Linked DNA regions of Saccharomyces cerevisiae S288C. Changing the gene in region 2 together with the main gene of any one other region gives a genetic interaction. Each region holds a gene or a part of one and is shown on either strand. Other genes may lie near its edges.

Evidence for each region.
Region 1: mutations in DOT5 (region 2) and MRH1 together harm fitness more than expected from each alone (negative genetic interaction), as found in Saccharomyces cerevisiae (2 studies listed by BioGRID).

What each region holds. Positions count from the first base shown.
Region 1 is NC_001136.10:506,356-509,845, reverse strand, and holds MRH1 (Mrh1p), read right to left. Parts: upstream 1,700-3,490; coding exon 737-1,699; downstream 1-736. Other genes in the region: LYS14 (Lys14p), read left to right, coding at 1-109.
Region 2 is NC_001141.2:332,600-336,063, reverse strand, and holds DOT5 (thioredoxin peroxidase DOT5), read right to left. Parts: upstream 1,183-3,464; coding exon 535-1,182; downstream 1-534. Other genes in the region: TIR3 (Tir3p), read right to left, coding at 1,528-2,337; YIL012W (uncharacterized protein), read right to left, coding at 2,712-3,053.

The DNA.
Region 1 (3,490 bases), on a different chromosome or scaffold from region 2:
TGGAAAATTTCAAAAGCTCACAGAACATAATCTTAACAGACTGGAAAAGGTCTGGTATGGTAAAAATCAAAATTACAGGTTAGAAGAACAAGACGTTTTAACATGGTAGTTTGTCTGTTTACGTAATAATTTTGCCTGTAGATTGATATAAAATTGTGTACGGATAATTGCACTGGCACGTCAAAAGTCCGAGAACTATTTTTCTCGAGAATGCCGCGCAAAGCAGGCACCGTGCCTTTATCTTTCTTTTTTTTCCTCCAGCACTAAACCTTCCATAACAATACTATTAGAAAGGTTGTTATCAAATATTAAAATAACTATTAAAGTGATACAAATATATATATAGATGACGATGGGCATAAAAAAGCTCGTTTCTAATCATCAACTATACGTTTCTTGATCAAAATGCACTGAGCAAAATATTGTTATGAAAACATACTTGCTTGACGAAATGGATTAAATGGATCCATTAAATTAAAAAATGAGTCTAGAATTGCACTTTATGATAGAAAATAAAAATTCGACAAGAAATGGTGATAATTTAACGAACGAAAATATTGAAACGTCAGGAAAATAAAATAAAATATGATAAAAGTTGAAGATGGAGTAAAATAATCTTGTCAAATAATCAATAAAGACAGTTTTATCCATTTATAGGATTGGCTTGAAGTAGAAAATTCTTCAAAGATGATTGAAAGAAAGAAGAAAGTAGCACATAATTGACATGACGATTGGCTTATTCTTCAGACTTCTTAGACTTCTTAGATTTCTTGCTCTTCTTAGACTTCTTTTTCTTGTCCTTACTCAAGTTTGGTGTAGCAGCAGGTCTTGGACTAGCAACTGGAGCTTTTGGAGCCATCACTGCTTCGGCATCACTAGGTCCGAAATGGTAGCCCAATTTGTCAGCACCGAAGTGGTTAGCAATTGGAACCAATAAAGTTGGAATGAAACACATCAAAATAAGATCAATGATACCATAGAAAATACCGGCAGAGTCTGGCTGCAAAACGTTACCACCATCGGTAATACCGAAACAAGTTGGGTAAGCAATAATCCACAAGAACATAATAATGCTGAAGAAAACAAGGAATGTCAACCTGATATCGTTATCTCTTTGTTTCACCAAGTTGTAACTGGTGGTCATAACACTGATACTAACGACAATAGCAGCACCTAGACCGATGGTGTAGTAACCCCATTTGTAAGTGGAGTGAACACAGGCAGCGATCAACCAACAAACAGTGAAGAATTCAGTAATACAAACATTGAAAGCCATTTGCCAGAATGGGGTACCAGCTAGCATACAGATTTGAATAATTGGCCATGGCAAAGCTAAGAACCAACCAACGAATCTAGAGTAGAAGATTTGTCTGTAACCTGGATGTTCTTTTTGAGTAGAAGTTTGGACATGGTTGTACTTAGCCTTGACTGGAATCCAACCTAAGTTAGAAGCCATGGTGAAATAAGCGATACACATGAAAAAGTTTGGAGCAATACCGGTAAGGTAAAAGAATCTGTCATTGACTGGTTTTCTGAACATTAAGAATGTTAAAATTAAACCAAATAATAGGTAACAACAGAAACATGTCCAGAACCAATCGGAACCACGACTAGTGATGTGGAAATCCGCACCGGTTGGAGGGTTAATTTTGATGGCTTCGTTACCACCTCTTTTAATTAAAGTTTCAAAGGTAGACATTGTTATTTTTCTTCTTTGTTCTGTGGGTTAAAGGAAGATGATTAGATATTAAGTGAAATTAGGTATTAGTTAAAATTAAAGCAAAAAATTAATGTTAAAATAGGGTCAAAAAATTGGATGTAGAGAAAGAAAAAGTTATTGAAATAATAATATTTTTGTTCGAGGAAACTTTTTTTTTTTCTGAGTTTCTTTTATTATTCTTTTTCTTCGCAATGTTTCTTAACAATAAGGACAAAAGATAGTGACAACGATCTAAGAATTAAAATAAGCTTAATAATAAATAAAAAGAAGAACTTGAAAAGGGAAAAAGAAGAAATAACGAGAAGTGGGAAAGAAATAAGGATATATCTTAAGTTACCGAAAAAGACACTACTTATAAATGAAGAAACCAGGTGAAGAGATCCTTTGTTTTACGAAGACCGTATTTATACATTTCCCTTCATGTACATGTGTGATAAATTGGAAAACCACTTCTGGAATTAAACTGCTTTTTCTGACATCCTTGTGCAGTCGTTACTGCGATTATTTACATCTTTACTGATTCGTATGAGTGTTTATTTCCATTTTGCCTTTTTTGTCCAGGAAAACTAGAGATGCCGATTTTCGGTTAACAAAAAAAGTCCTGGTGAGGGAAAAAAAACGCTATTTTTTTTGCTCACCGCACTAAGAACTAGCCGGAGAAGACTAAGCTAGGAAAGGGATGGAACAGATGACGACGAAGAAGATTAAGTAAAAAAGGTAAAGGGAGACGAGATGGTGACAAGTATCTCTTTTTTTTATTGCCTTTTTCATATTACCTATTACCGCAAACTGATATATTTCTCAAAGGAGAAATAGTAAAGTGGAAGAGGTTTGGGTCTCTTGGTAACCGGACTACATTTGCAAGTTGCATCTTCCATCGAAGTATTAATTCCCTCCATCCTCTTCTCACTAACACCGGCACGATTTTAAAAATTTTTCAACTCCGTTGTTGAATTACGTATTCCTCTTTATGGTAAGCGCTAAGATGAACAGCGCTGAAAAGCAAAATTTGAATGCTTGAAATTCAGAACATGACTATTCGTTCAGTACTCGCTTCATTTGCATCCTTAGTTAATTTGGCCTGAATTACTTTTTGAATTCAAGAGATAGTGCATAAAATGCGGCCCCCCTTTCCAGCTTCCATAAATTGCGCTGATTGCATGTCTGACTAAGCTTTTTTTTTTTTTTAAGCGACCTTGTCTCGAGGAGCATAATAAAAAAAAGGGAGTAAGGTCGGCGGCAGTCGCTTTTATTAAACTGAAGTAAAACAGAACAAAAATTACTTAAGGGTCGCTAATATTACCCTTATCCTCTCAACAAAAGATAAGAAATTAATTGACCTATACCTATAATACCTAATAAACCCAAAAGTGTCTTGCTCTGATGTATTTGTTTTTTTTAACACAACCTTGCTACCTTAGGCCATCGAGAAGAGATTGAGGTCAAAGTGGAAGCGTTGGAAAAGAAGGAAGACCCATAGTATAATGAAGCTAGTTACCATCCTTAGACGACGCCCATATTTTTCAATTTCTCTTATTTTTTTTTTACGCAGCGTAGCAGTTATGGACAAAAGCCGGCCTGAAACAAGATTGAGATTAAATGAAAGGGCGTCTGCTTGTATATGAACTCAGTCGTCCACTCTTTTTAAAGTACTCTACTTATATAAAAAAAAAAGATAGGGATTTACAATGTTAATTATTACACGCAGCATCTAGCGTATGATTGTATGTCCCGAATGCCCCGTTATTACCCAATAAAGCAAATTAATAC
Region 2 (3,464 bases):
AGCGCTACCGCATATGAGCCCGACAATTTTAACCAATCCGTGCCATTTCGCCAAAATTACAAAATTTTATAACGTTTGCGACTACAAGGTATACGCATCGATAAGAGATTCCTCACACCAAATACTTAGTTGAGTTTTCCCAAGAGTGTGTATCTAATTTTGAAAGGACTCATAATTGCAGGATCACATCTGAGACGACCAATTGCTTAATGATCATTGGCGATGCTGACTTAGTCTACGTAACAAATTCTCGAGCAATGTCTCACTTCAAAATTTGCCTAAGCAACATTTCGTCCAAAGAAATAGTGCCCGTTCTCAATGTAAACCAGGCCACGATATTTGATATTGATCAAGTCGGATCGTTAAGTACTTTCCCATTTGTATATAAATATTTATGACCTTCTGCAGGCTCGATATTTTATAAGTGTGAGAGAGTTAGAATATCTTCGTTTATCTACATATATAAAGGGAAGGGTTTGGAATATTTTACCGATAAGTACTCCTCTAGAGAAACAAAAAGGGGGTTATTAAACTTCATTCTTCTTTAAACTTTTCAGCGACTTCTAAAACCTCCTTTTTGGCGTCATTTACACTAACTTCTGGTGATATCTTAACTCTTTTGAATTTTAACTTCCCATCAACAAAAATGAAATGCGATCTAATAGAACCAGAAAGTGGCGTTTTTTTGGCTCCTAGCAACCCAATAAACTCTCTCTTTGGATCGCTTAGTAAATGATATGGCAAATTTTGTTTACTCTGAAACTTTTTCTGGGATGTCACAGAATCTGCACTCAGTCCAAAGACAGCAGCATATTTCTTGAGTTCCTGGTAATTGTCACGAAATCCACAGGCCTGTCTAGTACAACCAGGCGTGCTTGCCCTGGGATACACAAAAAACACCACAACTCTGTTATTTTCGGTGATTTTCTTCAAGGAGATAGAGTCATTATCTTCATTTAAAAGACTCAAATCAGGAATAGGATCGCCTATCTCTAATTCGTTAACATCAGATGACCTATTTGCCTCTTGAACTACTGCTTGATTAGCGTTATGTTTAGGACCCGTCTTGATTTTCTTCTTAGGCACTTCCGGTGTCGAAATAGGGGCCAGTTTGGACTCTTCCTCTTCCAACATTCTTTTGGATATTGCAATCCTGGTTGATCTACGTAGTGCTTCACCCATTCTATTAAGGAACTTTAATATTACCTGTATAAAGCTCGTAGTATTACTTCATCCAGTGGATGTAATAACAATGATATTTCTCTTCCCTTTTCTATATCTTTTTTTTCTCGACGGCTGCTACATGGCACAGCCGTCTGTGGATTTCATGCTCTTGCTCGAACATTCCTTTTTTTAATGTACAGCCAAGTGTACATTACAAGAGTAAAGAAAAAAGTGTGAAGAGAAAGCAAATTAAGTTTGTATTATCTAGGAGACAGTATATTAAAATAGGATACTAATATTCAAAAAGTGTATATTTGTTTTTTTACATATAACATTTTATAATTTATCATTAATAAGTGACAATCATAAGAGCATAGCAGCGGCACCGGCAATAGCGGCACCAACACCAGCGGAGAAGAAGCCCATGTCCATAGCTGCACCAGCGTTCTTGGAGGTAGCAGAGGAGGAGCTATTAGTAGATTTTTCTGCAGAAGAGGAGGCCTTTGCAGAAGAGGAAGCTGCAGAAGAGGCCTTGGAAGAAGCAGATGAAGCAGCAGATGAAGCAGCAGAAGAGCCAGAAGACTTGGCAGAGCTAGAAGACTTAGCAGCTTCAGAAGCAGAAGAGGAGGCAGCAGAAGAAGATTCTGAAGCAGAGGAAGAAGCAGCTGAAGAGGATTCAGAAGCAGAAGAGGAGGCAGCTGAAGAGGATTCAGAAGCAGAAGAAGAAGCAGCTGAAGAGGATTCAGAAGCAGAAGAAGCGTCTGAGGAAGCAGTGGCAGATTCGGAACCAGATTCGGAAACGGTTTGACCTAAGGAGGTAATACTGATACCCGCGCTTTGTAAAGCAGCGATGATTTCAGGTTCCAGTCTAGAAGAGTACCAAGGCACTTGAACCATGGCAGTGGTGATTTGAGCAAAGTCCATTTCGGTGAAATAACTGGTGTAGGAATCATCAGTAGCAGTGGTCATATGTTGGTAAACATCCAAAACACCAGATGGTAGGGTAAAGTCTGGATTATTCATTGCCAAGGACATATATTGTTCCAAATTGGCCTTGACATCAGCCAAAATAGCGTCAAATTCGACGATTTCATATTGTCCAACTTCAGCAGAAACCAATTGAGTGGAGGCAGCGGCAACAGCTAATAAGGCAGCGATTTTAGTGAAAGACATTGTTGTGTGTGGGCGGTTGAACAATTGGATCTGGGGAACACTAAAAAGAAAAAATCAAACAACCAGCAAGAAAATCTGCAGTAGAGAAAGGAAGAGGAGACGAAACGCTTATACTCTCCACCAAAGAATATATGTATATATATATTCATATGTACGTATACTGCCTTCTCAGACGGAAATCTGCAATCCATTCTAGGGCCTTCTAAAAAAAAGCCTACAGAAATCATGGTAAACAGGAACAATGGGTCGCCTTAAGGCACGCATATCTAAGAAACGTGTGCAGAAGCGGTAGGGTACACGTTCCTATCGTTCCATTTGGAGTCTACACACGTTTCCAACCTCTGCCTTCAGTCACAGTTTCTGAGTAACCTCGCTTACAAAAGAAATTTTTTTTCCCGCAAGGCGAAGTACGCCTCGTATAAGGCCAATGTCTCGTATGGGTGATGTAGGGCAGAAGCCAATGTCTCGTTCAAATGAAATAATGAGCTAATTAGGCTCCAAGTTTTACCACCTATCTGACGATTCTCTCTCTGCGTATAAGAAAAATGTTGAAAAAGCAACATTTTGCGCCAGGAAAAAAGCCCAATCATGGAAGTGGTGCAATACACATTCCAACTTACACACCGAGATTCTCCTGTCGTTATATTTCCACTTTGACGCCCCTTTATGCATCTTACTAATATTAGCTGTTCGAAGTACAGCTTACCTAGGCACATGTACTTTATCTCTCGAATTTTCCTGCTCAGTTTCTCCTACTCAAGTCTCTCCTAGTCTCTAAGGGAAGGCACCGTCTAGGACAGTGCCGGGCATCCTTTATGCAAGGGATATCCCCCCGCAGCCTTCTCCGTCCGTTTTCGTTTAGGCACTTCGCACAGAATTCACCGCAGAGAAGCGCCACATAGACGGCCACTTTTGTTTCCTACAACTTCCACTCTATCGTTTGGGGCCCGTGCCTTCGACTTTTACTCCATTGTGCTGCGGTTTTTGTTTGGCCTCGAACTTTTCCTGTCTGCGGATCTCCTGGTTTGGAAACAAGCTTTCCTCCATAGGCAAAATGGATACTACGGTACGAAGTATTTTCCGCAGATCCTGCTCTCACCTATATAAAACAACATACAACATCGTAA